7 linked regions of the Xenopus tropicalis genome follow. The protein of the gene in region 1 interacts with the protein of each later gene in a pairwise test. Links are inferred from orthologs where the notes say so. Each region holds a gene or a part of one and is shown in the gene's direction. Other genes may lie near its edges. The genes, in order: dazap2, tnip3, hip1, smap2, rnf208, exd3 and plekhb2.

Evidence for each region.
Region 2: the proteins of dazap2 (region 1) and tnip3 interact in binary tests that used the Homo sapiens proteins (3 or more experiments, as listed by UniProt). The two-hybrid records come from large-scale screens. The link is inferred for Xenopus tropicalis from reciprocal best matches to the Homo sapiens genes DAZAP2 and TNIP3.
Region 3: the proteins of dazap2 (region 1) and hip1 interact in binary tests that used the Homo sapiens proteins (3 or more experiments, as listed by UniProt). The two-hybrid records come from large-scale screens. The link is inferred for Xenopus tropicalis from reciprocal best matches to the Homo sapiens genes DAZAP2 and HIP1.
Region 4: the proteins of dazap2 (region 1) and smap2 interact in binary tests that used the Homo sapiens proteins (3 or more experiments, as listed by UniProt). The two-hybrid records come from large-scale screens. The link is inferred for Xenopus tropicalis from reciprocal best matches to the Homo sapiens genes DAZAP2 and SMAP2.
Region 5: the proteins of dazap2 (region 1) and rnf208 interact in binary tests that used the Homo sapiens proteins (3 or more experiments, as listed by UniProt). The two-hybrid records come from large-scale screens. The link is inferred for Xenopus tropicalis from reciprocal best matches to the Homo sapiens genes DAZAP2 and RNF208.
Region 6: the proteins of dazap2 (region 1) and exd3 interact in binary tests that used the Homo sapiens proteins (3 or more experiments, as listed by UniProt). The two-hybrid records come from large-scale screens. The link is inferred for Xenopus tropicalis from reciprocal best matches to the Homo sapiens genes DAZAP2 and EXD3.
Region 7: the proteins of dazap2 (region 1) and plekhb2 interact in binary tests that used the Homo sapiens proteins (3 or more experiments, as listed by UniProt). The two-hybrid records come from large-scale screens. The link is inferred for Xenopus tropicalis from reciprocal best matches to the Homo sapiens genes DAZAP2 and PLEKHB2.

The regions. Positions count from the first base shown.
Region 1 is NC_030678.2:142,300,378-142,305,076, forward strand, and holds the start of dazap2 (DAZ-associated protein 2), read left to right. Parts: upstream 1-1,667; 5' UTR 1,668-1,704; coding exon 1,705-1,717; intron 1,718-4,699. UniProt on the Homo sapiens protein: In unstressed cells, promotes SIAH1-mediated polyubiquitination and degradation of the serine/threonine-protein kinase HIPK2, probably by acting as a loading factor that potentiates complex formation between HIPK2 and ubiquitin ligase SIAH1.
Region 2 is NC_030677.2:71,470,216-71,474,307, reverse strand, and holds part of tnip3 (TNFAIP3-interacting protein 3), read left to right. Parts: intron 1-900; coding exon 901-1,029; intron 1,030-4,092. UniProt on the Homo sapiens protein: Binds to zinc finger protein TNFAIP3 and inhibits NF-kappa-B activation induced by tumor necrosis factor, Toll-like receptor 4 (TLR4), interleukin-1 and 12-O-tetradecanoylphorbol-13-acetate.
Region 3 is NC_030678.2:48,793,559-48,798,314, forward strand, and holds the start of hip1 (huntingtin-interacting protein 1), read left to right. Parts: upstream 1-1,462; 5' UTR 1,463-1,632; exon of another isoform or gene 1,633-1,644; intron 1,645-1,667; exon of another isoform or gene 1,668-2,013; intron 2,014-2,036; exon of another isoform or gene 2,037-2,407; intron 2,408-2,567; 5' UTR 2,568-2,695; coding exon 2,696-2,713; intron 2,714-4,756. UniProt on the Homo sapiens protein: Plays a role in clathrin-mediated endocytosis and trafficking. Involved in regulating AMPA receptor trafficking in the central nervous system in an NMDA-dependent manner. Regulates presynaptic nerve terminal activity.
Region 4 is NC_030678.2:87,996,764-88,001,627, reverse strand, and holds the start of smap2 (stromal membrane-associated protein 2), read left to right. Parts: upstream 1-1,811; 5' UTR 1,812-1,904; coding exon 1,905-2,007; intron 2,008-4,864.
Region 5 is NC_030684.2:1,807,983-1,811,857, reverse strand, and holds rnf208 (RING finger protein 208), read left to right. Parts: upstream 1-1,909; 5' UTR 1,910-1,930; coding exon 1,931-2,731; 3' UTR 2,732-3,290; downstream 3,291-3,875.
Region 6 is NC_030684.2:2,932,994-2,937,085, reverse strand, and holds part of exd3 (exonuclease mut-7 homolog), read left to right. Parts: intron 1-1,304; 5' UTR 1,305-1,342; coding exon 1,343-1,364; intron 1,365-1,799; coding exon 1,800-1,864; intron 1,865-2,778; coding exon 2,779-2,952; intron 2,953-3,249; coding exon 3,250-3,411; intron 3,412-4,092. UniProt on the Homo sapiens protein: Possesses 3'-5' exoribonuclease activity. Required for 3'-end trimming of AGO1-bound miRNAs.
Region 7 is NC_030681.2:126,781,987-126,786,575, reverse strand, and holds the start of plekhb2 (pleckstrin homology domain-containing family B member 2), read left to right. Parts: upstream 1-1,389; 5' UTR 1,390-1,448; coding exon of another isoform or gene 1,449-1,515; intron 1,516-4,589. UniProt on the Homo sapiens protein: Involved in retrograde transport of recycling endosomes.

The DNA.
Region 1 (4,699 bases):
TAATAAACAGGTTCTGTTAGTCATCAGCCATTCAGCCAGTTTGAAGAATATCTAAGACAACAAAGATTTACCTTAAATCTCTTTGTAACTGAATTTCAATGTGACCTTTCAAGAGACCAAGTAGGCCTTCCCCTCAGCTCTAACCTGCACTTGTCTTAAAGTAGAAAAAAACCCTAACCCATTTTCAGCCATCCTTCACTGCTCCCCCTCCAAGCTCAGAGGCACCATCTTCCCCTGACTTCTGACTCCTCCTGTTAGTCAAAACTGATTCAAAAGGGAAGATGCTCTTGCAATATTGTGCCTTTACATAGTATTGAAACTCTTCAGTGACTTATAATATCCCTTTACAATAAGGGGTATTTTTTCTCAATATAAATTAAGTAGGTGAAGGTGAAAAATAATAACCTTAAAAAAATTCACAATTTTTACAGCAGGTGCTGCTCCTAGACACCTTTGTTACGTAAAAATTTTTCAGCTGGGGGAGAGAAGTCCCAGCCAATAAGGCCAGTGCATTGGGGTTATTTGCAAAGGTGATGATAAGAAGGAAACACACAGAAATTACAGGAGAGTTGTGAGTTAGGTTCTAGCACTGCATGGGCTACAGTTCCTGTCAGGTCCAATAGTAGCATAGAGTAGTGAGGGTCAGTATCTGGGTGTTAAGGGGTCAATATAATAAAAGGTGCGAAATTTGCTTTAGGTTAGTGACCCACTGCAACCAATCAGCAGATAGAATTTACTGGTCAGCTATATAAAATCAAGAATCCGACTGGTTGCTATGGGTTAATTGACCCAGATGAACTTTGCATCCTTTATTACATTACCCAATGTATACCAATTCCATTATATACTGCATGCATGTAATATTAATATATTGACTCTAGTGACTAAGGCTGATGTTCCACTGAGCGGTTTAGTCACCTGCAATAGATCTCTGCTATCGCAGGCAACTAACTGTTCCAAAATGCATTTCCACTGGCAACAATAGGAGTTGCTTGTGAAAAGCCCTTCACATGGCTTTGGTATTCCAAAGTCATACAAAGTTTCCTCCAGCAGGCATCTTTGTGTGACTTATGAAAACTGAAGCAATGCAAGCAATGGCTTTCTACCGGCGTGGCTGGTGGATAGGCATTTCGTAGAGGGCAGTCACCCGCGATAACACAGATCTATTGTGGGCGACTAAACCACTCCGTGGGACATAAGCCTTTCCCTTTACCTGAAAAGAAACGTGTCAGCCAACCAATGACATAGCACCTACGTTTACAAGAAAAATGCATTCCCCAACAATGCAATTTTTTTACAAACAGCCCATAACCTGGACAACAGGGAAAGAGCTAAATTGATATCCTAGACCAGTGTTAATACAAAATGGTAAAAATCTGTTGATACAAAAGCAAGAAAATTTTACTCATTTCCAGTAAAGCAGCTACTATGTTACCTAATGGGCTAATTATAACCATAAGTTGTACCATTCCTTGGGTCTATGAAAAGCAAAATGCGTGTTTAGGCAAGCCAAAAGCTGCAGCCTGCAATAAAGCCGCGCAAAATGAAAGTGCAGGTAGGGGGCGCTGCTCAGCAGGAATGCGCTTTCGTATCTGCGTAGAGTGAAAAAACACAACAAGGAAGTAGATAGAAGCGGAAGTGGAATCATCTCCCACAACAACACAGAGAAAATACAGATCGAGCAAGAGACGTGAACCCGGGGCAATGAATAATAAAGGCAAGTAATGGCCCCTCCGGAGCTCAGCGGCAACTTCACTGTGCTTTGCGCTTGCTAGGGCTGTTTGTCCTGATCAGGATGCACCTTGGGATTGAGACTGCGACCTGGCGGAGCTGCTGCTGCTGCAAGGCGTTATGATGTCACTGATACCAGTGATTTGGGGCCCTGCTGGGACTTACTCTATAACCGAGTCCCTCTGCTTATTATTATTAGGAAGTATATGGTTTGGGTGGGTATATTCTAGGGGCGGGCTCTATTAGTCACTGAGCGAGTGAATATATATATATAAATATTAGGAATTCGGACGTATTATAGAATACGTTTATACCTTGGTAACCAGCTCCGGCTCCGTCCTGCTTGTGTGCGCACCGCTCTGACCGTGTAAGGCAGGGATTGTGTAACTCCTTGTGTATGTGCCTCGCTAAGGAACATCGGACGTGTCATTTGCCTTCCATTCCAGCGCTTTATAAAGGATTTAGTGGCAAATGGATCACTAAGTAGGCCAGTCGGCAACTATAGTACCATAGTTACATAGGGTTGAAAAAACACCAGAGTCCATCAAGTCCAACCCATCCAAGTAAATCCAGCACTTACAACCTATATTTACCAATCTATCATCAACCATGCCAGGCTTCAGGCTGATGGTATTTGTGCATGGCACTCTTGAATTAACAAGAACTCTGCTACTGAAGAGCAGTAATCCAGTAACAAAGTACATTTGTAGTAGAGTTTAGTACTGCACTGGAAACATTGTCTAATCAGACTTGGACTGGGATTTAAACCAGGCCCTGGCTTTTTAAATACACAGAGGCCCAAACAGCCCCCCTACACAACCCCCAATAAATAGTGCCTGTCTATATCAGTGATCCCCAGAGGCTCACATACAGCATGTTGCTCCCCATCCCCTTCCCTGTTGCTTCCAGTGGCATCAAAGCAGGTGCATATTTTTGGATTGAAGTCAAATTTGGATTGCATAAAAAAACAGAGCCTCCTGTAGGTTGCCAGTCCACATAGAGACTACCAAATAGCCATAGTGCTTGTGTTGCTCCCCTACTCTTTTTATATTTGAATGTGGCTCACTTTTAAAAAAGGCTGGGGACTCCTGGTCTATGGTATCTTACAGCAGCCCCTCTGGCATTTGCCAGAATCACAGATTGTCATTGTGGAACTGTGCCCAATTTAATGCTGCTGCACACCTGTGCATGGACAAATATCAGCCACTCCATATCGCTTCACTGCTTGGGGTGTTGAGCTTCCTTCTCCTTCAGAATAGCTTCATAAATATACATTTGATAAGGTGCAAAAACAATTTGCAGTTTTAACAAAGAGGAATTCCTCGCCCATTTTAGCAGCAAAAAGAGGAGATTGCATCAAATAAATTATTATATGGATGACTTTATGAAAGAATGTCATAATACTTGTTTAACTTTTTCATTGCAGAGGGGGTTGTTCTCTAATGATTCTCAAGGTCTTCCCAATGTTTCTGCCTATTCAGAGTGACATTCTTGAGAATCTCATACTTGAGACTTGAAGTTTTACAGTGCTTTTGATTTTATTGTTCTAGTCTAGAACCAAAAATGTTCTGCCTATTTTGAACTTGTTATGGGTAAAGAATAGTATTTTGTCTTTTTATCTTTGATTATTTCTGCTGAGCAAATTAGAGTGCTACTTTGTTCATAACTTTAGGTTAAAGAATAAGTAAACCTTTTTTTTCTATCAGTAAAATTACTCTAAACAGCCTCCAGAATTACCTACCTTTGTCCCAGCATTCTTTCTGACCTGGTTCCTCAGTTAGAAGTTGATAGTTTTTCTTTGCTTCCTTGTGCAGAGTAAAGCCCCGCCCCCACTTCCTGTTCAGTTCTCTCTTCAATTCGACTACCTGTAGTTGACCTGGAGAGCCTTCTGGGCATGCCTGGAGGCAGCAGTACGCATTCACGCTGCACTTCCGCATTCCCCGGTCATCGTCGATCACAGACGGAAAAGGTCTGGTCACCCATGAGCTAGCCATATTCTTAATGAGCTGCAAGTTGGAGTGATATCACCCCCCTCCCAGCAGCTGATCAGCAGAACAATGGGAAGGGAGCAAGATAGCAGCTCCCAGTTGGTATCAGAATAGCACTCAATAGTAAGAAATCCAAGTCCGGGTTGGGCCCCCTCCAGTTACATGGGAGTATGAGAAACAATAGGTTACCTGAAAGCAGTTCTAATGCGTAGCGCTGGCTCCTTCTGAAAGCTCAGACTGAGACACTATGCACTGAGATGGCGCCTACACACCAGAATTACAACTAAAAAAAATACATGTTGATCCAAGAATAAAATTTTAAATGGCAGAGTGAATTATTTGCTAAACAGTGTAATTTAGAAATAAAAAGTACACCACAAAATCTTTAAGCATGAAGTCTAGCATTCTTTAATGATGGCCTCTGAGTGACTGACCTGAAAAGTTCAAATAGTTACTCAGAGGCCAGAATATCATTGAAGGATTTTGGTAACCTTGGTAGGTAAGCAATACAACACAAACATATGCAGACTATAAAGACTATTGGATTCTCTGTGTTTCCTTTAGGCTGATTAAATATTGTTTTCCATCATCTCCCAAATCCCAAGTCAAATTGATTAGATGAGTCTGATTATAAGCCAAATTGAATTTTAATTGGTATATTAATATTTATCTCCAGTTTTCCCAAATTTTGCAGTTGTCAAAATTTCTGTTTGTGTGAAAACTAATTTTTTTCTGTTATGCAATCTTGTGATAATTATGATATTAATATAAATCTTTGAAACAAACCATGGAATTCAGACAAATATCTAAGCAACTTTACTTTCCTCACAACCCTAGATTAGCTGCATTTTTATGGGAACTGAAGATGATCTAAATTTTTAAAACCAGGGTCATATAGGTGGAGTTTGGCAGCTTTTGGGTTCAGCTGCCATATTGACTTCTTTAAAGCACATAGGCAGCTTATTGGCAGTAGTGTTAAT
Region 2 (4,092 bases), on another chromosome or scaffold:
CTATGGAGCCTTCGAACTATGAGCAGACTGTGGGCCATAAAAATAAAACAATGAACGTATATGTAGTAGGTGGACTGCTAAAATACCCACCGAAACAAAGTTTGTAATGAAGTGAATCCTGACTCATAGGAATTTCTACAGAACCACAAAATATACACTTGACTTGGAATCAAAACCAAATTACAACTAGCTAATACAGATATGGATCACCCTTTCAGATTCCCTCAATATTATTACTTGATCATGGCTATGTCGAGTTACTTTTTTTTTTTTTTGTCCAGTTATTATTATGATTGGAAAAACATGCTATAGTTTCCAAATCTTACTTCCTACACATTTGTTTTGAAAATAGGATATATACACACTTTGCACCTTTACGATTTGGGCCCCTTGCCCATAACCTCACAAAATAAAGAGCTGAACTTTCCCTGGCATGCCCTACTTTGCACATCAATGAGGGTACAAGAAACAGAGAATGTCAGACACAAAGGCAGGCGTTAAGGGCCACACTCCCTTGTGCTTATGTGAACTGCAAAAGGAAAAAAACCCAGTTTGAACTTCTCTTGAATCCTTTTTTCCTTGTTTAATAAATGGTTTGTGAAACATATTGGTGTAGATTGTACTTTATCCTCTTGCTTGGTTTCAATCATAAGAGTGGGTACAGCCATAAGGTTCATTACCAAACAGTCAATTCATATTTGCTAATCCTTGACAGCACATCATCTCTCAGAAAGTTGGTTTAGTACATAGATACTTTAAACTCTATATACAGATCAATACATATTATTCTATGATGTTTCCAAAAGAAAAATCTTGCCTTGAAATATTGCCAACCAATAGCTTACTTTTAAAATGAAGCATGCAGATGTATCATATTCAATAAGTGCACTTTTGTTCTAGAAAGAGGGAGAAACTCTTAATGTGGAGCTGCTTAACATGAAAGAAGAAAATCACTGGCTGAGGAAACAAAATGCTTTGTACAGCAGGAAAAAGGAGCAATATAAGCATGAAATTAACCGCCTTAATCAGGTGACTAATAACTTTACATTACAGCACAGAACTGTCTTCAGGGTTTATTGATAATACTGTAACATACAGTAAAACGGACAGGGAATAGGACTGGATTAATATAAAAAAGGAATGCCAATGCAGTTGATTTAGATGAGCACAAGGAAGGAGAGTGACAGAAGTAGATAACAACAGAAAGGGAGCAAGAACGTGCTAAGGGAGATGAGCAAAGTAAAGGTTTGTAAAGGTAATTCAGAAGTAAAGGAAGGATAGAGAGGTGTAACCGAGTAGAAAATATAAGGAACAGCCTAAATATCAGTCTTTAGTTGTCATTTACTTACAGTGTGAAAAGTGCAATTTCAGACGCATCTCCATGTTTTTTTCCCCATAATCCCAATGTAATTGCAGTTGCCAGAGGGAGTTGCGCCTGCTAGAAATGCAGCTGACACAGTTGTACCTCTTTGACACAAATCAGTCACAATGGCACTGAAAGTTAGTGTCATTTCCAGCATATGGCATGAGAGCGATTTGTGCTCTGCTCCGTGTTATTTCAGCGCAACAGAAGTGCAAGGAGCACATGTTGACGCAAGAGCCTTTAATCAATAGGATTTTTCATGTGCCCAATTTAGTAACTCCAAAACTGTACTTGCAGTCATAAATGACCCCTTGTATTTGTTAGCCCAGCAGTCCGGTAGGGTACATCTTCTGTTTGTATGCTTTATTATTTAGTAAGGTTTAACTGATGTACTGTGAGTGCCCTGTTTTTTGCATTATATATATAATAAATATACAGGTATGGGACCTGTTATCCAGAATGCCTTGGGACCTTGGCTTTTCCAGATAAGGGGTCTTTCCATAATTTAGATCACCATACTTTGAGTCTGTTAAAAATCATTTAATTATTAAACTCAATAGGACTGTTTTGCCTTCCATAAGGATTAATCGGATCTTAGTTGGAATCAAGTATGTATATTGCCTGGGTGCAGGGTAATCAAGTGTACAATATAAGAAACTCAGGACTCAGCACTCACAGGGCTTTAAGAAAATAGCAAAAGGTCCCAAACATGTGGCTGAAATGTTGATTTTGCACATTAAAGAATATTTTTGCTATTTTTGTAAAACCCTGTGAGTGCTGAGTCCTGTATATGTATGTTTATTGTTAAGATCGGTAGACAAACCGACTAGGGACTTGAACCCAGCAGTATCTGTCTGACAGGGCAACTTTCATAAGAGACAGAAAAATAAACCTGTTAAACAATTAACTTGTGGGGAGCTCTGTAATAGGAATATAATACTGCATATATAATAAGAAGAATTACAAATACAAAAGAATAGTAGTATTTGTGTCCTTTTACCCCGTTAGGAAGCAGGAAGGAGAGATGGGTTTTTGCGAGTCCAATAAAGCACCTTTTGTTCAAGATGAGTTCTGTAGCTTTAATAAGAGTAAAACATGAACATTTCCAGCTCTTTTCAGATGCTTATACAATGAAAATACCTAATGTGCACCAATCAGTTTCTGTGAATGTATTTCCGTAGTGCACAACACACAATTTGACCAACGCACATGCATTTTGTAAAGTTATAGAGAAGTCACTGAAAATGCTGCCAAGCAAAATGTATCAGTAAACCACAAAGACTTCCTCAGGAAACACGTTGCTCTTGCACTAGGCAGCAATCCATACCCAGCCTAAAATGACATATAATCAGAAGAAATGGAAACATTTAGTCTTCTCTTCATGTCATCTTTGAAAAACAACAGAGAAACCGCGCTCACAGGATTTTACATACTGAAATAACAACATCATTTTTTAAATTGCATAATACATTTATTTCATTGTTGTTTTCATTTTCAGCGTAAATGCCTGTAAGGGAGGTTTAGGCGGCAGTCATATATTACTGGCATGCATTCCCTGGCTGCCTCTGTTTATAAATGAATATGAATAAGTCTATGTATAGAAATATAACTGAAATGCTTGGGACCTGGGGTTTTCAGGATACGGCATCTAAACATAGCTTGGGCACTCACCCACAAGGCTTCTAGAAATCATTTAAATATTAAAAAAATAGAATTTCTGGATTTATGCTAGCTTAGTTACCATCATGTACAAGTGACTAACTATTACAGAGAAGGTAAATGTGGAAAAAATTAAGACATGCTTGTTTAAACAGGACTCTATGGGATATGGCAGTGCCATATATTGCAATTTTCTGGATAAAGGGTTTCATTCTAGATAAGTAATAAGGGGATGGAAAATAAGTTCCATATCAGGACTGGGCCTTACAGTACAGGTATGGGATCCCTTATCAAGAAACCCATTATCCAGAAAGTTCCAAATTACGGAAAGGCCATCTCCTATAGACTCCATTATAAGCTAATAATTCTAATTTTTAAAAATGATTTCCTTTTTTTCTGTAATAATAAAACAGTACCTTGTACTTGATCCCAACTAAGATATAATTAATTCTTACTGAAGGCAAGCAAAGCTATTATTAAATATTTAAATTATTTTTAGTAGACTTACGTTATGGAGATGCAAATTACCGAAAGATTCCTTATCCGGAAAACCTCAGGTCCCGAGCATTCTGGATAACAGGTCCCATACCTGTACCAAATATAAGTCCCCATTGCTCCGTATGGGAACACAACTTTGTGCGGCGGGGCGGCCACCCCTTAATTCTTGCCGCCCTAGGCCCAGGCCTTTGTGGCCTCACCACAACTCCAGGTCTGCCTGCTTCATTTATTTATAAAGCTGTGCAAAAGAAAAGTATTTGAAAAGCCACATTTTTATAAAACTGTGTTATGTTTTTATGTCTTTAATCTAGAGTATAAAGAGGTGGAGGCTTTTTACCACTTTTGGAAATTTCATTGCTGCCTGAATTTGTTACAGTAGTTTCAGTAGGTTATGCCAGGTATAAGGTGGTGTAATATGATTGTGTGCATTATGGCATTAGTTTGGCATACATAATCACTTCTTATAAATATTGCTATTGGTTCTTTATAATAGATAATTTACACTACTGTGATGCATTGTGTTAATTCATTACAATTCCATTTAACTTGCACCAGTTCTTACACGGCTTTGT
Region 3 (4,756 bases), about 94 Mb from region 1:
AATAAAAAAGTTAAAAAAAAAAAAAAAAAAAAAAAAAAAGAAAGGGAGTATTTTGTTTCAGAATATAAGCTGCTAGTAAATAAACTAGTAGTTCCTGCTACATATTAATAGTGCCAGATATTATTTATGTAGCAGACCAGTTGTAAACAAGTGACTACCACATTAATATAGCCCCCTCTAGCAACAGTCTTTGCATCTCTCCTCTATTCACAAGCCTCTGCCCTCGCTCTACCTCAGTTAAACTCTGAGTACATCTTTTTAGTTCATCAGCATTTGAGCTCTCTGCCCCAAATACAGCATATGTCCAACCCAACCCCCCATAATTTACATAATTCTATCCAGTTTGTCAACAGCTGACTTCTCTGTGGACAAAAGTTTAGTATCTCCTGTTACTAATTACATCAGTCTCTCTATCTTTCTCTATCAAAAGAAACCATATGCAAAAAAACTAAAAGTCTCAAATATTCTGGGAATAAAGCAATGGGAAAAAAACAAGTGATATTTTAGCTAAAATCTGCTACTGCACCCTCTCATTCACATAAATAAGTGAATCAGAGGTGACAATGGCACTTTCTAGCTGTGTAACTGCAATGTGGCACAATCTCCATAAAAGATAATGCTAAGCAACACTGTTAGACTAGGTCAGAGGAGGGATGATTTGGAAAATGAAGAAACTTAATAAATGTCAAATCAAATGATTAAAAACCTTTGGAAATGCAACAAATGTGCTCTGTACATCACTTGACTTGGGGGGAAGTGCTAATATTTGTCCAAGGGCTGGATTTATTGATGACTATAGATATAGAAACAATGCCTATGGATTTTTGGAGAGTATTTATTGCTAGTTTAGATTTTAATGCACACTCCATGAAGAGGCAAAAAATGCAGCCAATGTATGGCAGGTTGAGAAAATCTAAATTTGAAGTAATTTAAATAGTATAAAGAAAACAATCAGTGAAAAATAATCATTCACTCTTCTTTAAACAACGTTTGAGTAATAAAGTCTTAATATGGAATATTGTGGAAGACATTGTTAACGGCTATTAACACCGCAGTAAGATAAAACCCACTCAAATATTCTGTCCAAGTAGTGTTTATCCAGAGTCCTCACAAGGTCAGGGCTCACATCAGTAACAGTGTGTTTACTGCGCCCAGCATTTTTGTGTTCTAACCTCTCAGAGACAGTAACATTTCCCTGTTTTATCCTATAATTGCCAATGCTTTAAAGAAAATCTTCAGCTTCCCTCTTGCACCCCTAGCAAACATTGCCAGCTGTCCGCTACATATTCCCGCGCCTGCGAATGGAGCATCCCTCAGCCAATCAGAGTGCGCTTGGGCACAGCTTCGAGCCTATTGGCTGCTGTTGCAGAGCTTCTGATGCCTCAGCAGCGTGAATGGAGGAGGCGGAACAGACAGTAACAGGCACCAGAGGATGGGGGGGTGGGAGGTACAGAAAGCTGCAGAAGCTCACTGAGGGAAAATACATTGATTGATGGAGAAAGGGGAGGGGTGGGAAGCTGCAGAAGTTAGGGACTGAGGGCAAATTTACGCTCTTAATTTAATAGTAAAGAAATTCCAGCCGGATACTTGTTTTTGAAAAGAAGGGAAAAGCTGGATCTTCGCAGACGTCTGGTAACCCTAAATGTACTGTGCTCTTTCCCTGCCTCTCCATCCCTGCCCTGCCTATTGTGCAAGTAGTGTTATTGCATGCTGGCTAGTGCGCTTCGCTCCCTCTGTGGGAGTGTGCTGCTGCTTGTGCCCAGTAGTGCTGAGTGTGTCCTGCATCGCTCCCTGTGCCCTATACACTCACACCGTCCCCTCCCTCTCCCCTGGCTTATCTGGGTGACTGCTGCTGCTCCCTGTGCCATCTGTCCGTGTCTTGTTGCTGGATGCTTTTGTGTGGCTGGCCCTGGGCTCTGTCCGCACCAATCTGTGCCCACCCCCACTTTCCATCACTGCCTTTCCGCCTGCCCATTGCATTGGCATTCTCTGGATTTGGGATAAACACAGCCAGTGAGTACCCTGCTCTCTCTGGAAATCTCTAACATTCTCTGTATACCCCTTCACTTCATAACTATCCCTTTGCCTGTATGCCTAAATCTGCCTGCCCACTTCTGTCTACCCCAACACCCTTCTCTGGTCTGTCTTTTTAGCCTGCCTGCCATCTTCTGTCTATACCAGCCAGCCTGCCTTGGTCCATCTGTCCAACGTGCCTGTCAACTTCTGCCTGTATCAACCAGTCTGTCTAGGTCTGTCTGTCCTTCCTGCCTGCCCACTTCTGTCTATGTCAACCAGCCTGTCCTAACCCGCCAATCCAAATCTGTTTGCACAACCTGCCCACCCAAATATGCCTGTTCTAACCAGCCCATCCAACTCTGTCCTCTTTTTGCTCAGCCTGCCTGCTCAGGTTTGTGCTGCCTTCATGCCATAGACTTCCAGACTGGGTTTTTTTCAAGCCTGTCCTATTAGTTTATAACTCTCCCTAGCCTTTTGCTACAGCTTAGTTTGCAAGTTGTTCCTAATTCACATTATGCCTCTTCTTTGTGTTTTTATTGTACCTCACACAGGGTCACCATGTTGCTTCAATCACCTTGTTAACCAATCATTACTATTTCGGGCACTTAAGTCTGCAGCAACAGGCAATCTGTCAGCCTGAGGGGTTTCTTACCAACTTCCAAGGGAATTTTCAGAAATCATGGATGCTGGGAAAATGGTGAGTGTGACCCAAAACTTACTCCATGATACCTCTTAACATTCACCCTTATAGACTGGCAAAGCTAGTGTGCTACCATAAGACCTACTTATAATTGGAGCCATTTTATATACGTATATATCAGTTAATGGGTCAGTTAATTGGTCTAGTCATGTCTTTTACGCAGCTTTGTTAAATGTAACTTTGCATAATGGTTGACAATAACAAAGATAAACGTGTACACTGATCACTGATCATATGATACATATATATATGTATTTAAAAATATACATTATTGTTTGATTGGCTGCAGAGGACCTTACAAAAAAACTGGTCCTCTTGGATCTGTTTATGTAGCAACAAGAAATATAATATAGCTTTTCTGTTTGTGGCTTCATTTTAAAGGTGTTATAATGTTCTAATATAAGAGTAACATCACTTGAAGTGAAGCATGTTGCGTTTCAGTAGCATACATATTTCAGGGTACAGCAAATATTTGCCTACTAACTTGTGGTTCTCTAGAATTTGTGGACTACAACTTTCAGCATCCCACCATGTGGGTTACAGGTTGCATATTACTACTCTCCCTTTTATCTGCCTGGGCTAGTTCTATTTTTCTACGATTAGGCTATATATATGTTGAATTAGTAAATGAATGTATTAAATTTAACATTGTTTAATTATATACTCTATATAAGCATGGCCATCTTTACTGAATCATTGATGTATATACTTTGTGTGTTTAATGTATCCCTCATTCTATTGTAAAGTAATGCAGAATATATTGGCCCTTTATAAAACATAATAATAATAAATTGTATTCGAAAATTGTATTCAGTCACCTAGTCTGTTTTACTGGTGGGCTGATTTACAATAAATTTAGGATCCAGCCATGCTGTCATAGCACACAAGACTGCTGTATGTACTAAAACCTGGGAGGGGTACTAACCTGAAACAAGGAATAGAAACAAGGAATCGGGACTTTATATTTTACTGACTTCTGGTTATTTTCATCCTTGCAGTATTTGTCAGGTTTGATAATTTTGCTGAACACATTTCTAAAATGATGCATTAAATTCAAACATAATACAATGGTATCTTCAAGGATATATACTTGGTTATTCATGTACCAAGTAGAATCATTAATTTCTCTAATGACGTACTGTGGCAGGGACTGATGTAAATGATGCATAAACTCCGTAAAGTGCTGTTTAGTATGTTGGTGCTTTAAAAATAAATAATAATAGTAAATTCATCCTGGACGTGGCTAAAGTATTAGGAGGAATATGGCAATGCAATGGTATCCAAAACTGCGAAACATTTTCTGCATTCATAATTTGCTAGTACAGGAAAGGATCCCGTATCCAGAAGCCCATTATCTATCTCCCATAGACTTTCTCCTATTTTAGTCCAGTCCATTTTAAAGGGGATCTGTCACCTCAGAAATATTTCCAAATGTATTTCTACCATGTTAGTTGAGCAAAATAAACTTCACTTACACTATATAAAATTTAAAAATCTTGTTTCCTTTAGTCTTGTAATTACACTATTATAACAAGCAGGCAGGCACCATTTTGTGGATACTGTTATTATGACAAGCTTTGCATCATGCCAAAATCTGGTTTATTTGATACAATGGAGGACCAGAGGCCCATACTCATACACTGCCTACAGTGTGAGGAGGGAGGGGGAAAGTGAGAATTGCAGTGACATCTAGGAAAGTTAAAGTTATTGTCTGCTCCGCCTCTATGCCAAAGGCATAGAGGCGGGGAAGGCAATACATGATTGACAGCTGGGATTTTTAAATGCCTTTATAATGGGTATGGATGTGTTAATAAAAAAAGGAATTTGGTTTTCATGTTTAATTTGAAATAGACTTTTATTATACAGATTTTTATGTCTGGGTGACAGGTCCCCTTTAAAGGACAATGAAAGGTTAATATAAATTAAAAGTAAGTCTAAATGCATTCTTTTCAAGTACTTATTTAAAAAGGGATCCCGTTCTCAGCCTGAAAACTAAAGGCCTGTTAGTCTGACATCAGTAGTAGGAAAAATTTTTGAAGG
Region 4 (4,864 bases), about 54 Mb from region 1:
CCCAGGGCCCCCCCCAAGCATCCTCCTGCTTCCCCCAGGGCACCCCCAGCATCCTCCTGCTTCCCTCAGGGCACACCCAGCATCCTCCTGCTTCCCCCAAGGCCCCCCCAAGCATCCTTCAGGGCCCCCCAAACGTCCTCCAGCTCCCCCTTCCCTTCCCCCCAAGCATCCTTCAGGGTCCCCAAGCGTCCTCCAGCTCCCCCCTTCCCTCCCCCCCAAGCATCCTTCAGGGTCCCCAAGCGTCCTCCGGGTCCCCAAGCGTCCTCCAGCTCACCCCAGCGGCCTCCTGCTTTCTTCCGCTCCTGTGGTGTCCTCTGCTATGTCCCGCAGCTCCCGCTACTTCTGTGCTTTTATAAGGTTGCGTCCCATGCGTGTGATGTCAGTACGCACAGGCGCAACCATATAAAAGCGCAGAAGTAGCAGGGAGCCGCGGGACAAAGCGGAGCACGCCATAAAGGGTAGGGCCCGGACTTGATTAAAGGGGGCCCGAGCTAAGGAAACTCTAGCGCGGCTGGGCCCCCTTTAAAGTTAAAAATGCCCGGGCCCGGGACGATCGTACCCCCTGTGCCCCCCTGATGGCGGCCCTGGTAGTGCCCATACACATGCCGCTTAGCTGCCAAATCGGTCTAAGGCAGGGCTCAGGAACCTTATTGGCTGAGAGAGCCATAAACACCACATATTTTAAAATGTAATTCCGTGAGAGCCATACAATGGCCAACGGGAGCTAGGCCGAAGGCCGCGGATGCTGTGGGGCAAGGTAGGGTGGGTGTCATCTTTAGCTGTTCAATATGGCTTGTAGCCCCAACAGAGACATACTGGCCACATTTTATTTTCAATTCAAGCGTGACAGGTTTCTGCTCCAATGTCCCTCTCAGTTCCCTGGGCCCTGGTTCAAGTGCAACCCGGTAAGGATGCCGGACGCGGAGGAGGGCGTGGCCTGTGCTTGGCGGATAGAAGATGTGTTCTAAGGCATAGAACATGTCTTCTATCCGCTAAGCGCAGGCCACGCTTCACGTTATTTTTTTTTATTAAAGATTTGGCAGGGAGCCAGATGCAGCCATCAAAAGAGCCACATCTGGCTCCCGAGCCGTAGGTTCCCTACCCCTGGTCTAAGGGACCAATATCGGCAGCTAGAATCGGTCCGTGTATGGGGACCTTAAGTCGCTCCGTGGGTGCTTAACCTAAATATATCACTTTTGTGATAAGCCGGGGTGTGGGCCCTTGAAGTGCCAATGTGTCACACTTATGGGCAGATTTATTATCCAGTGTAAAAATGGCAACACATTGCCAGGCTTCTCCACATAAAAAAATGGTGTAATTTTTTTGTTTTTTTTTTCCTTATAGCAACTGTCCACTAAAACTTACTTATACAAGGTCTAAATTGGTGGAAGATAACAGCATAAAATCTGGCATTCAACTGGTGTAAAATAAAACACACTTTTATATTATACAGCTTTTGACAGTTTTTGTAGCGAAAATTATTTTACACAGCATTATAAATTGGCCCCTTAACGCGCAAAAGGAATGCAAAATCCTCAAGTGCCAAAGTCGGAATTACAAAGTAGAGTGAGTTTTTGAAGAATATATTTTAGAGAAATGAGGCTATGCATCCTCTCGTAGCAAATGAGGAGTGGGAGAGGATAGGCGCGTTGTTACGAGTCATTCTCTTGTGACCTAGCCACCAGCACCCACAACCAAGAACACATTCCCTTTCACTCGCATATGAGTCAGAGCCCATTCATACCTTTTCCTCCGGGGGCGTGACTAGCTGTAGCCGCTCGATTGGTTTAAACTACAGGACAGCGTGACGTACTTCTAAACATGGGTAGGAGGCGGAGACCAGGAAACAGGAAGTGAAAGTGAGGAGCCGCACCGAAGAGGCCATCTTACTGTCTCCCGGGAACATGACCGGGAAGTCGGTTCGTGATGTGGAGCGGTACCAGGCAGTGCTCTCCGAGCTTCTTTTGCGAGAGGAGAACAAGTTTTGCGCTGACTGTCTGGCTAAAGGTAACCGGCTACCCGTTTATAGTAGTGACCTTTAGCGATGGAACTCCCTATCCCTTCCCTATCAGATGTGCCAACCGGCTTTTGTCGTGAGGAGATGATTTCCCCTTTTGTTAAACGTATGATTATATTTCTGTTCATAAATCTGCATTGATGTCAAGCGTTGTCAACCCCAGTGTTATCATCTTCAATGGCCAGGTGCTAAAAAATCTATGGGCAGATTCGTATGACTTAGAACTGTCTCCTGGTCAGTATTAGGCTGGCACATTCTAAGCATTAGTTCCCAAAGCAGTTTAGCTGTTGGTAACCAAATTGTACTGAACAAGCTCTGATGTGATCATTTGGCAGCTTCTGTATACCTGGATCAGGCAGGTAGCCCATTCATCCATTCTGGTGATTACAATTTACACTTGCCTGTAGGACTGAACGAATGGGAACTACACGAATTTGAGCAGATTCCCAACACAATTTGTTTTGTTCAGATCAGACATGTAAATGTTGTTTTGTCAAAAAATTGACCCGCATTTTGTGCCATTATAGTTTCCGGTATAATTTTATTAATATTCAGATCGTACCATTGTATCCGGTAGCTCTTTACAGGTAAGGGCTTACAGCTACTAGGCACTACAAATACAACAATGTACAAATAGATGTGAGGCGTGGTTGTATTGGAAGATTACCCCAATGTTTGTGTGAAAATCTTTGTAGTTCTAAAGCTAACCTTACGTCTTCTGTGCAGTTCATGTTTTATTTCTTTGCAACACAGATGGAACAGTAAATGGGTAGTAAATAGGACCTTCTGTGCTGCTGATTGATGTAAACATGCATACACACACCTATGTAACCTATGCAGATCCTACTAATGTGGCAAGGCTTGAAATGCTTATAGTGTGGAAACCTATGCTTGGATTGTGATTAACATTTCTTGTTGTTCATCTCCTAATAGATAATGGCTCTATACTGTTGCAGTCATATTAAGAAAGTTTATTGCATTATAAGGTGCTAATTTAAGTGACTGTGAAAAAGGTTTTTATTTGCCTTATCTACTTATGGACTAGGGGACACAATTTGGCCTATAAATATCATATTTTGATCCACTGTTTACTTATCAACTCGGTATGCAAAGTTGTAACCCATCATGTTGGATGCCAGAGGGAAAGGTAGGTTATAGCTACCTATAATTGTATATAAATACCTGTTATGTGTACACAAATCAGGTGTTTTGTGTTGACAGTGTACACATACAGTGTGCATTATGCATTAGTGTAAGGTCATCTTTAACCAGAGCAAACAGTAATAGCTGTTTTTATTCAACAGTACAGAATAAGGGTCAGTAGAGCAGAGATTCTTCAGTTATTTTGTTTGTCATTTTGTGTATTTGCTGCTTCCATTTTTTGATTATAACAGTAAGATATTTTTAGATATTGTTAGAGCAGATATTGTGGTGATATGTATTTCTAGCATATTTTGCTTTCAAAATTCCTGGAATAGTTGCTGGTCCGTATTCCTTACCCTTTCATTGACATAGATTAGAAATGAGGAAGTAATTTAACCTGATGCGTATTTAATTGCGCCATACGATAGTTTTCTCCTACTGCTTTGAAATTAATTAGTTATATATTTAGCTGTTTCAAAGTCACAGTATTAAGCAGCCATAGAAACTGTTACTGTGCTGTTGCATATAAACTCTTAAGCTGTTACTGGGGCCCTGAAATGCTTTTCCATAAAATTAAAACTCTTGTTTTATGCATTCTTTTACATTTATCAGAACGGTTTCTTCTGTTGACACAGGCTATTATGTCGCTAAGGGCATGGGTTCCCCATCTGTGGGGCTGGCTATTCTGCAGGAAGGAGGGTAAAGTTTGGGGTGATTGCTCATGCTCTAGATATGCTAAATCTTTTTGAAATCATTCCTTATCCATAGGTGAATAAACTTGTATGTATCAGTCCTTCTCTATCCACAATGACTGTAGTGAGAAGTTAGTGCAAATAGATTTCACACTTTGTGTGTCTTTTTAATAGGCAGAATAAACTTTCAGCACAAACTTCTCTAATGGGTTAACGTTGAACACATATCAAATTATAGGTTAACATTATAATATATATTAAAACTTACCTATAGAGACGAAACATCTACCATCATAACATTTATTACTATGCTTATTATGTTTCTACATTTGTGGTACAGGTATGGGACCCGTTATCCAGAATGCTCGGGACCGAGGGTATTCCGGATAAGGGGTCTTTCTGTAATTTGGATCTCCATACCTTAAGTCTACTAAACAATCAATAAAACATTAATTAAACCCAATAGGATTGTTTTACATCCAATAAGGATTATCTATATTTTATTTGGGATCAAGTACAAGGTACTGTTTTGTTACTACAGAGAAAAAGAAAATCAGTTTTAAAATTCTGAATTATTAGATTAAAATGGAGTCTATGGGAGACGGGCTTTCTGTAATTCTGAGCTTTCTGGATAACTGGTTTCCGGATAAGGGATCCCATACCTGTATTACTTTTCTAAGGGCTATGCAAAGTAGACTTGAAGAAAGTTTAAAATACAAAATTGTATCCTTAGTGGCACACCATATAAGCTGTACGGGTATGGGATCCATTATCCAGAATGCTTGGGACCTGGGGCTTTTCGTAATTCGGATCTCATACCTAAAGTCTGCTTAAACATTATATAAACAGCAATTACACCCAATAGGATTGTTTTGCCTCCAATAAAGATTAATTTTATCTTAGTTGGGATCAAGTACAATGTTCTTTTTTATTATTACAGAGAAAAAGGAAATCACTTTTAAAAATGTGAATTATTTGATTTAAATGGAGTCTATTGTAGATGACCTTTCGG
Region 5 (3,875 bases), on another chromosome or scaffold:
GGGGGCTGTATGTAGAGATGCGTGTATGTGGGGGGGCTGTATGTAGAGGTGCGTGTATGTGGGGGGGCTATAATGTAGAGGTGTGTGTATGTGGGGGGGGCTATATGTAGAGGTGTGTGTATGTGGGGGGGGTGTATGTAGGGGTGCGTGTATGTGGGGGGGGCTGGTTGTATGTAGAGGTGCGTGTATGTGGGGGGGCTTTATGTAGAGGTGCGTGTATGTGGGGGGGCTGTATGTAGAGATGCGTGTATGTGGGGGGGGTGTATGTAGAGGTGCGTGTATGTGGGGGGGGGGCTGGTTGTATGTAGAGGTGCGTGTATGTGGGGGGGCTTTATGTAGAGGTGCGTGTATGTGGGGGGGGCAGTGGGGGCTGTATGTAGAACAATAGAACTGCAGGGATCAGCCATGTTTCTTTGTTGGGTCGTCACTTTGCCTCCCAATTCCCCTTCATTCCCCATTCACCCATGGCCGGGGGGGTGGCAGTGCCCATAGAATGCCCAGCCTGCCAGCCTGTACTCATTATGTAGGGAAGAACAGCACCGACCCATGGGGTTTTACTCTCCCTCCTTACTGTGCTCTGAGAGATCCCTCTATGGCTGGGGGGGTCCTTATGTTTCCCACTAGTGGGTCCAATACCCACACAGAATGGGGGGCAGGGGGGGCACTTGGGAAGAGAAGAATGTGTGATATGATGAGCTGCCCGCCCCGGACTCTACACCAGGCAAAGTACTGGGGCACTACCAGGAACCGATCCACTAGGAACCTTCTAGTCATTTCATTATTACCATAGACAGCCTTGGCCATTAGCTTGCAGTCTAATGAGACACTGTGCGGTCTCACTCTCAGAGCTGCTCACCTGTCTCTCTTCTGTCCTACAGGTAACGACTCCTACCAGGGAAGCAAATCTGTGCTGAACGGACCAGTGGGAGCCACCAAGTAGCCAAGACAAGGCCTTCAGGACTATAATTGGTCCTTCACACCTTCCTTGGGATCTAGCAAGCCCATTGGGTCGCCATCCTTGGGTTTAAGCAAGTCCATTGTGACTAAAGTTGGTCTTCATCCTTGGGTTCTTGCAAGGACATTGGGACTACAATTGGTCTTCATCTTTGGGTTCTAGCAAGGCCATTGGGACTACAGTTGGTCTTCATCCTTGGGTTCTAAGAAGGCCATTGGGACTACAGTTGGTCTTCATCCTTGGGTTCTAAGAAGGCCATTGGGACTACAGTTGGTCTTCATCCTTGGGTTCTAGCAGGGCCATTGGGACTACAGTTGGTCTTCATCCTTGGGTTCTAGCAGGGCCATTGGGACTACAGTTGGTCGTCATCCTTGGGTTCTAGCAGGGTCATTGGGACTACAGTTGGTCTTCATGCTTGGGTTCTAGTAAGGCCATTGGGATTACAGTTGGCTTCTTCAGTAGACCTAACTCCTAGCCTTGGACTGCTCTGCAGGATGCTCAGATAATGTGGTTCCCAATGAGCCGGTCCCTCATCCCTCAGAACTTAGTGGACCTGCCAGTTGGAGAGAGAGTGAAGTGTCAGCACAGGGGACTTCCCGGCCTCCCATGTAAAGAGGAATAGCACTTGGGGAGGTGCATTTGCCCTCGGGGTGGGGTCTTTACTTTCCTCAGCGCAACTGTTGCTTTGTGAGATGTCTGCATCGGTTCCCCCTTCGCTCCAGAACCTCCAGGCCCAGAGACCTTTCCATCATCTCTCCGAGAGCACTTGGACCCGGGAATAATTCCATTCATTCGCATATTGACAATTGGAGGGGATGTCACGCAGGAACTGACCCCCCAGTGGGACCCGATTGGCCCGTAGAAGTGGTCATGGTCATCTGCACCAGGTTCTCTCGCTCTGCTGGTTCCTCCTCGATCCCAGCGGTGCCGGTGCCGGATTTCTAGGTGTTGGGGGGGCATCACAACTCCAGCCACATGCAGGGGGCGCTGGGAGAAAACAAAGTTGCGGACAGTAATGTGAAAAAGATCCTTATGTCTTGTCTGAAGGGGCAACAGGTCATCATCAAGATGGAGGCCATGAAGATCATCCAGGCCGAGAAGTTCTCCGAGTGCCAGAACTCTCAGCCTCGGTACGGCCCCCCGTCTCGGAGGGAACCCCCGCTGGTTGCCAAGCGGGCCTGGCCCTCGGACTCGGAGATCATCGTCAACCAGGCCTGCGGGGACATGCCCGCCCTGGAACCCGCCCCCAACGCCTTGGGGCTTCCGACCAGGACACCGCCGCCTCCGCGGAGGGAGAAGATCTACCCGGGGCAACGGAAGCCGAGCGCCGAGATCTGTTACCACCGTAAGACCCCTTCGGATGAAGTCATCGTCAACCAGTACGTGCTGCACCCCTCCACCCCCTGCGAGCCCCTGGAATGCCCCACCTGCGGGCACATGTACAACTTCACCAACAAGCGCCCCCGGATCCTGTCCTGCCTCCATTCCGTGTGCGAGGAGTGCCTCCAGATCCTCTACGAGTCCTGCCCCAAGTACAAGTTCATCTCCTGCCCCACCTGCAAGCGGGAGACCGTGCTCTTCACTGACTATGGCCTGGCCGCCCTGGCGGTCAACACCAGCATCCTCAACCGGCTGCCGACCGAGGCCCTGTCGGCCAATCAGGTGCAGTGGAGCAGCGACACCGACCGCAGTTGCTACCAGACCTTCCGCCAGTACTGCGGGGCGGCCTGTACCTGCCACATCCGGAACCCGCTGTCTTCCTGCACCATCATGTAGCCTGGTACTGCTGGCCGGGCCCCTGGGGAACTGGATATTTATATATATATATAAGTGGGGCGCCCAATCCCGACTCTGCAGTTCCATATCATAGCGATGGCCCAGTTGGGTTCTACTTGCATCTCGGTGTGTGGGTTCTCCATCTCTCTGTGGCTCCTCCCACCCCCAATCTGGTTGGACCGGCATCGCCAGCGCAGAGACCAAGCACAACGGAACCACCAGCTGGCACCAACGCCCCCCCAGGGGCCCAACCAGAAGGGAACCCGTCACTCTCTGCCCAAATAGTTTCTTTTGCCAAAGCTTTGTTCTGATTCGCTGACTGAAATGCACAGAAATGATATATTTTAACTTATTGCCGGAAAGGGCCACTTGGGCTTCCAGCTGCCGGAGGGACCCCCGGGGGCCGTTGCTGAGCGACGCATCTGGGGCCCCTCGGGCAGAGGAAGGGTTATTGGGTACCAAATGGCGCATTGTGTGTATGGGGGGCGGGATTGTGGGGGTGCCATCCGGCCCAGGTGATTGTGCCCCTGTCAGTTACATAAACGGCTCCAACACAGAACCGACCCGGTCTATTATTTGCTCCAAACTTTCATGTAGCCCCCAGCTGATAATAATAAGGATACAGCCCCCCCGCAGTGTTGTACCCGGAGCTTTCTCCCCCAGTCCTATCACAGTCCCTGGGAATGCTGTGCTATTGGGATTTGGCCTCTGTCGGTACTGGGAACGTGTGTCTGTGATTGGCTGCAGTACCGGGTCCCACCACTTCCAGCCCAGAGCCAATGGGCCCCATAGAGCCACACGTTACAGCGCCCCCCATTGCTATGATTATTAGCTTATGTGAGGGAATTCTGGGTACACAGTCCCGGGTGTAACCCCCCCCCCATGGAACCACTGGTGGTATATTCCAAGGGCCACTGCCCCCCCCCCCCCCCCCCCCCCCCCCCCCCGTGACCATGAACCGCAACCCAGCCAATGGCCTGAAGGACAGAAAAGTACATAGGGACATGGGTCCCATTACACTGCCGCCTCCCATAAGTGGGGGAATATAAAATAAAGCCCCCAGGGCAATTAGAGGGGGGCTTGTGTGTGGGGGGGGAACCACCTTTCATTTCTTTCTCACATATGTGGGTGCTGCTGGGTGACC
Region 6 (4,092 bases), on another chromosome or scaffold:
GACCTTAGATTGTAAGCTCACTGGGGCAGGGGCTGATGGGAATGGGATAGGGACATTAGAGTGTAAGCTCACTGGGGCAGGGGCTGATGGGAATGTGATAGGGACCTTAGATTGTAAGCTCACTGGGGCAGGGGCTGATGGGAATGGGATAGGGACATTAGAGTGTAAGCTCACTGGGGCAGGGGCTGATGGGAATGGCATAGGGATCTTAGATTGTAAGCTCACTGGGGCAGGGGCTGATGGGAATGTGATAGGGACCTTAGATTGTAAGCTCACTGGGGCAGGGGCTGATGGGAATGGGATAGGGACCTTAGAGTGTAAGCTCACTGGGGCAGGGACTGATGGGAATGGGATAGGGACCTTAGATTGTAAGCTCACTGGGGCAGGGACTGATGGGAATGGGATAGGGACCTTAGATTGTAAGCTCACTGGGGCAGGGGCTGATGGGAATGGGATAGGGGCATTAGAGTGTAAGCTCACTGGGGCAGGGGCTGATGGGAGTGGGATAGGGACATTAGATTGTAAGCTCACTGGGGCAGGGGCTGATGGGAGTGGGATAGGGACATTAGAGTGAAAGCTCACTGGGGCAGGGGCTGATGGGAATGGGATAGGGGCATTAGAGTGTAAGCTCACTGGGGCAGGGGCTGATGGGAGTGGGATAGGGACATTAGATTGTAAGCTCACTGGGGCAGGGGCTGATGGGAGTGGGATAGGGACCTTAGAGTGTAAGCTCACTGGGGCAGGGACTGATGGGAGTGGGATAGGGACATTAGAGTGTAAGCTCACTGGGGCAGGGACTGATGGGAATGGGATAGGGACCTTAGATTGTAAGCTCACTGGGGCAGGGACTGATGGGAATGTGATAGGGACCTTAGATTGTAAGCTCACTGGGGCAGGGGCTGATGGGAATGGGATAGGGACCTTAGATTGTAAGCTCACTGGGGCAGGGACTGATGGGAATGTGATAGGGATCTTAGATTGTAAGCTCACTGGGGCAGGGGCTGATGGGAATGGGATAGGGACCTTAGAGTGTAAGCTCACTGGGGCAGGGACTGATGGGAATGGGATAGGGGCCGTAGAGTGTAAGCTCACTGGGGCAGGGGCTGATGGGAATGGGATAGGGACATTAGATTGTAAGCTCACTGGGGCAGGGGCTGATGGGAATGGGATAGGGACATTAGAGTGTAAGCTCACTGGGGCAGGGACTGATGGGAATGGGATAGGGACATTAGAGTGTAAGCTCACTGTACCGCAGGGGGAATATGTGGGCGCTATATAATAATAATGATTATGTGCTGTTTCAGTACCGGCATTGGGTCGGAGGCCCCATCGGATCTGAGAGATGTCAGACATGAACCATACAGGTGAGTGAATGGGATTCTGGTACTGGGGGGGCGGGGTCACTCGGTAATCCTGGGATTCTATTGGCTCCTCAGATATGCACTGAGCAAGGTCTATAGGGCAGGAAAAATCAAAAACTGGGTAAAATATAATTTTTCCCCCCCCCCTGAACCCGCCCCCCCCCCCCCCCCGACCCGCCCCGGGGCTAAAGATCATCCCTTCTAATGTTCCGTCTCTGGGCCGGTCACATTCCGAGAGCTGGAGGTCAGCGAGGGAATCCCAGCATCCCCCTGGGGGCGCCCCCCAGCCCCTTTCGCTTCTCCTGTTATTTCCCACAGTGCCAGGAAGGAAGGTGCATGCTGGGGGACTCGCACAGCGGCGGCCATCTTTGCGCAGGTACATTCTGCCCTTACCTACAAAGGCATTTACTTACGTGGTTTGTGATTGGTCCCTTGCAGAGCAAGATCACTCCGAGATCCTAAGCTCCCTGCAGAGCCTTTGGGCCAAGAAAGATGTTTTACAGGTGAGATCTACTGTCCCCCCCCCCCCAGGAAGGGAGAGGTGCACCTTTTAATTAACCGTTACTATGCTGTAGCTATTGATATTCTAAGACAATTTGCAATTGGTCTTCATTTTTTATATTTTATGGTTTTTCAGTTATTTAGTTTTTTTTTGTTCCTCAACTTGGTATTTCAGCAGCAACCTGGTTGCTAGGGTCTTATATACCTTAGCAACCAGGCAGGGTTTTGATTGAGAAACTGCAAAATTAACCATTAATATGCTGTAGATATTGATATTCCAAAACAATTTGCAATTGGTCTTCATTTTTTATATCTTGTGGTATTTAGTTTTTTGCTCAGCTTGGAATTTCAGTAGCAACCTGGTTGCTAGGGTCTGATATACCTTAGCAACCACGCCATGATTTGAATGAGAAACTGCAATATAAATTGGGGAGGGGCCTGAATAGAAAGATAAGGAATAAAAAGTAACAATAACAATAAAACTGGAGCCTCACAGAGCAATAGATTTTGGCTGCTGGGGTCGGTTATCCTGTTGCTAGGGCTCCAATTACCTTAGCAACCAGGGAGGGGTTTGAATGAGAGGCTGGTATATGAATAGGGGAGGGGCTGAATAGAAAGATAAGGAATAAAAAGTAACAATAACAATAAAACTGGAGCCTCACAGAGCAATAGGGTTTGATTGCCGGGGTCAGTGACCCCCATCTGAGTCAGAAGAACAAGGCAAGTAATTCAGAAATGGTGCAAAATAGTGAAGTGAAGACCAATTGCAAAGTCGCTAGGAATTGGCCAATCTATAACATATTAGAAGTTAAATGTGAACCGGCCCTTTAAGGAGATATTCAAGCCAAGACTGGGAAAGGGCAAGCCCCAGAATCTGTATATAATAATAATAATATTATCCGTTATGGTCCAACAGATCCGCCAGGTGGTTGGTCAGCTGATCTCGACGCTGGAGGAGCCGCTAGTGGCGCTGCTGGACCTGCTGGAGGTCACCAGTACCTGGAAGGGGAAAGGCAACTCGCTGGCGGTTTTAATTGCTAACGAGTTCCAGCAGTGGCTGAAGGCCAATCCGGACGCACGGCAGGTAAAGGTGGGCGTAACCAGTAAGATTGGCTCGTTTGGCAAGGTTGCCCAATCATAAATGAGCCAATGCGGCCCCTGATCCGGCCAAAACTCAAGCCTGTCCAATCAACATCTGCCCAATTTGAGGCCAGATATTGGTCAGGGGCAGGGCCTGTCGGAGGGCCCCATAAGCTAACGCTTATTATGTTATACAATGGCCTATTCTAAGCAACTTTTCAATTGGTCTTATTCATTATTTAAAGTTGCCCATGATCTGATTGGTTTATCTGTTGTTTAATCCCATTGGACGGTCTCCCCTGCGCAGTCCGGCCTGCGGCTGAGGAAGCTCCAGGGCCGCGCGCTGAGCCTGGTCTCGGAAGGGCAACTCTTGGACCTGCTGAGCGACATGTACCGGATCGCGGAGGCCGACCGAGCCTTCCTATTGGGCCAGGTCACCCACCTGCACCGCAGCGGCAAATACAAAGAGGTGATTGGCTCTTCTTTGCTGATGGCGAAATCTCCATCCCTCCAGTATAAATGATAAAACCCTTTACATATTGACCCTATAGTGTTTATTAACTCCTTCCCGCTCTGAATAGCCAGACTGCAAATCCAACATGGCCGCCACGCTAACTGCCACTTTTCCCTTTTTACTTCAGTCTCTGCCCCTTTTTGCTTTGTTTCATGAAAGAAGCAGCGGCAATCAAAGGTGGCATTGACGGGGGCCGGCTTCCAGCGGGCCGGCTAGGGTTTCACGCACGTCTTATGTTACACTCCAGGCCCTATTGAAAGAGTGTCTGTGGCTGAATAGGGCCCTCCTGCACTCCAAAAGGCAGAGTGGCGGGGGGAGAGGACAATGGCCGCTCTTGTCACCGGCCGAGGGGGGGGGGAGCCATTGTCACCCATACAGAGGGCTCGTCTGGCAGTCAGTGCACGCCTCACTGCCTCCCCGCATTCAGGGCCCTGTCAGTTCTGATTAGTTCAGGGGGCTGGCAAATTAATGGCCCCTTCACGTCTTGGGGTCCCCCCTCCTATCTAGGGTGACTGTGAACGTGTTTGGCATAAGTGAGGTTGATTGGGACCCCACGTCACATGGGATTGCCCTAGTTGGCTGTGGGGGGGGAGGCTACATTGCAAGTGTGGCCCCATCCGTAATGGCATGCTCTGG
Region 7 (4,589 bases), on another chromosome or scaffold:
GACACTTTTATAACAGAATCATTTGTTAGTAATGGATGAGCTTTTGTTTTACGTGCTATTTCCAGCTAATATGCAACTGAACAGATGTAGCGAGATATATGAAGGGCTGGAAGTTAAAAGAAGGGTTTGTATCGGCATGGAGGTGACACACAGGCAAACGGAATTCCTGTGGCAGATAGAAAGATGCAGCTTGCACCAATTTGTTGTCTCTGGTGCAGGTCTTATGTTGACACTGTGCCAACCATGCCATTATTTACAGTAAAGGTTACACTGCTGTGAGCCCCAGCTAGGACCTACAAAAGAGCACTAAGACTTTGGGCTTAGTGTGACAGGGCAGAACATCCATGTAGCCCTTAGGGCAGCCTTTTTATCGCAGGGAACCCAAAATAATTAGTAGAATCAGCTTTTCAACTGCAAACTTACAAACAATATCATTTAATTGCTACTTTCTATTGTGAGAAGAAACTTCACATTATCCAGCGGGACCATGGAGACCTATTTTTGCGTCCTGCTCCATCAAATAAGGATCCCATATATATCTATTTACATATATAGCTGACATTCGTAATAGGTAGGGAGAAGACACACGGGGTGATTAGTTGCGACAACTTGTATACTAGTGTTAGTTGTGGCAACTGATCACCCCATGTATCTTCGCCCTATGAGTACACCCCCATATTTAGGGTTGGCACCTTTTTCTATCTGGCCTTTGGGTTGGGGGTGGGGTTGTGACTTCATTTTGGGGCAGGGCTATGATGTAAGGGGTGGGTGGTGGGTAAATGGGCTGGCTGGGTGGAGGGAAAAGTGGATGGGGCCCAGAAATTGGTGGGGTAATAGGCGGGGCAGAGGGGTGACCTGTGGTTATAAAGGGTGATTAGCAGCAGAGAGGGTCAGCGAAGGGAGGAATTTATAGGGCATTATACAAGTGTAAATAAATTTGAAATACCAGTGCTGGCCCTACCGGGTGATTTACCGGCCACGCAAGTCAGATACCAGCCAGGTGGCAACCCTACCCATATTGCTTGTGTAAGTTTACTTACCTGCGCATCAGTGCATTAGTCCCTTGTAAGAACCCTTAGGTTAGTCTCTTTATTTGAACACTATATTAGTCATCATTAACTAAAGGTAGTCCATTTAACTCCAGCACAACTCTGCCTATGCTATAGAAGCAAGACCTAACTAAAATTTCCTGATGTCTATTCCAATTACCTTGCAAAAATAAATAAATGAATAAACTCTTCTAAGACAATCATGTCAGTATTCAGCAGATCAGCATTATTCCCATGGGTGGCAACAGCATTAAGTAAACTCAGGGCTTGTTCTCATCCAGAAACAAACATATCCATATTATCTGTGGCTTCGTTATCCCACTGCCTTTCTACCTGCTCCTTCTGTTCCGCATTAATAACACATCATACCTCATAGTCTGCAAACATATTCACTGCAGCATGAACAGCAAACTCGCAGCCGAGGAGCCTCATCTTCCCCATCATGAGAAAGAGAAAGAGAGGAAGGGTACGAGTGCTTGCATTTATATCTATATGTATGTTTTTTTGCTATAGTTGTTATCTATGTATTCTGTGCACAAGGAAAATAGTTTATGACAATTAGAAACCACGTTCCAAATGTAAATAAGCCCTTTTCTTTTCTGCTTCTTACAACTTTTGTGTAGTGTCCATTTAGCTTGTTCCAATAAAGTGTGTACATGTTCAAACTGTAGTCAGAAATGACAAAAATTTGTGTAATGCATCAAAGTCAATGGGCTTTTTTTTTTGCAGCTACAGTGTACTGCACAGCTTTTTTTTGCAGCCATTGCAGTCTACGGGTGATCTTTCGTAACAAAACCTGGTTAAAATTTTCGCTCATCACTTGTTCAAAGTACAGGGCAGAATGGCACAAGGGGACTCTGTAATGCCAGGCTTCCTTTAGCAGTTTGTGCCAACGTAACAACTGACTTCTGTACAGTCAATCACACACTAATGGTATTATGGATTATGTGCATTAGAATTTTGTCATTTAGATTTTTATTGATTTTATGGAACAGAAAAAAGGAAATCAACAAATCAGCAATATAGAATGTTATTTTTCATCATAAACATGGTGTGAGCTTGTGAGCTTGTTGTGCTGTTGTTTTGCCATCTCCTTGGGTATTTTTATTGGGTGGTGCATTAGAATTTACACCATTTACACCAGCACTGCTGAGCCCACTAGTGTATGCTTTTTAACTTGTTTCCGCCACATGAAGTTACAATTCTGCTGGGAAACACAGCATTGTGGGTATAAACATGGTGATTTGCGTCCGATTACACATTGAGCACATAAGGCTACTGTAGTAAATGAACCCTCTAGTTTAACCTTATATATTTTTGCAGATGTTTACTCTAACAGTAATAATAATAATAATAATAATAATAATAAAACAACATCGGCATATGTTGTTTTTTGTGGTTTGGTGTAATTGGCCAGTTTTGTCAGGGTAAGTTGTGTTGTTTTCTGTAAGTGTGCAGTAGCACTTTACATTGAGTTCATAGGTTGCAACAAGCACTCTCCCCCCAGTTAGCACATTTGCCAATTGTGATTGGCTGATACAATGTTGAAATGTACCACAGCCTCAGAACATCACTCTCAACAACATACTAAAAGTTAATTTAAAGGTGAACTATCCGTTTAATAATGATTGAAGTCCCTCTTTGTTTAATTTATGAAATATAACTCAAATGGACTGAGGCTGTATGACGAGAAGGACTCGTTTAGTTGTGGCATTGGATGCATTACATTAATACACAATATATTCCCTAAGGAGTTCCTTTAATTTACATTTTGTTTTTCACTGGGAATCACCTGCTTCTGGGGGAAAATATAGCTCATTAAGCAATGATTACACAAGCGGAACTGCCTGCAAAGTTGTGATTCAGTGTAAAAGTGCCATTGCTTGCCCTGTTTGTTTCTTAAAGTGCGTAGCAACATAGGCCCTTGGGCTTTCTGTAGCACAGGAACTCTACTAGTGCCTGGATGTGTGCTGTGCTATCCTATAGTTCAACAGAACCCTTACATACTGCTATACTGTGCCTTACACTTATATAGGGAAGCATGGTGTGTACTCTCAAGGTACAGGAACATGGTGGTTTTCAGTGCCTTTGCCATACTGTGTAGTTTCTATGCATTCTATAGCAACAAACAATGCTTATTCTGACTCAACTCATGTTTCCCTGCAGGTTTGTACCAACAAACACCAATACTGAACACTTTAACTATAGGTTTCTTTCAGTTTTTATTGCACTACTGACATTGCATGACAAATACATTTCTAACTATCACATGCTTGAATCCTTAGTGTCACAGCCTTAGATAATATTAATGTTGAAATGGCCTTTAAAAAGAGGGAATAGGAAAAATACAGGTATGGGGATCTGTTATCCAGAAACACGTTATCCAGAAAGCTCCGAATTACGGGACAGCCATCACCCTTAATTAAATAATTGAAACTTTGAAAAAATTATTTTAATTTTCGCTGTACATGTATGGGATCTGTAATCCAGAATCCCATTATCCAGAAAGGATACAGGAAGGCCATCTCTCATAGACTCAATTTTAATCAAATAATTCTAATTTTTTCAAAATGATTCCCTTTTCTCTGAAATAATAAAACAGTACATTGCACTTTGTCTAAATACATAGTTAATCCTTACTGGGGACAAAACAATCCCATTGAGTTTATTTAATTTTTACATTATTTATTAGTAGACTTAAGGTATGGAAATCCAAATTATGGAAATACCTCTCTTTTGGAAAACACCAGTACCCAGAATTCTGGATAACAGGTCCCATAATTGTTATAAAGCAATACCTTGCATTCTGGATAACAGGTCCCATAACTGTAATAATAAAATGGTACCTTGCATTCTGGATAACAAGTCCCTTACCTGTATTAGTAGCACACTGCAGTACAGGTATAGGATCCATTATCTGGAAACCCATTTTCAAGAAAGCTCAGAATAACGGGAAGGCCATCTCCCATAGACTTAAAAAGGCATTTTCTCTGTAATAATAAACAGAACATTGTACATTAGCCTAGCTAAGATATATTTAATACTTACTGGAGGCAAACAGTCCTGTTGGGTTTAATTAATGTAAATGTTCCATACGTGTATAACCAGCAGGGCTAACAATATGAATTGTGTATCTAAGCACAATAAAAGTTACGATCCAATATTCTGGGAATTGAAATTCTTGCACTACTGTGTTTAAACATTGGAAAACCCAGAGCTTAAACAACAATCTCATTCATTCTTCTGGGATTTCTGTAAACACTGGGGAATAGCAGACTTTGCTGTTATGGCAATAATAGTGTAGCCTCTGAAGATGAGTAAAGATGTTTTGCTTCCAAAATAAGGGGCAAAGATTACATTCTAAATAACATAGCAGAATAACGTCTGAGTCCATCAAGTTCAGCATTCTGCTACTGAGCATTTAGATCATTCAGAGAAGGCAAGGAAAACATGCAGCTGGGTTTGATAAAATATGTGATGGAAGGTTCATACGGGTGCAAGTGGGGGTAAAAATATGATTCAGCTTGTCAGAGAAAAAAG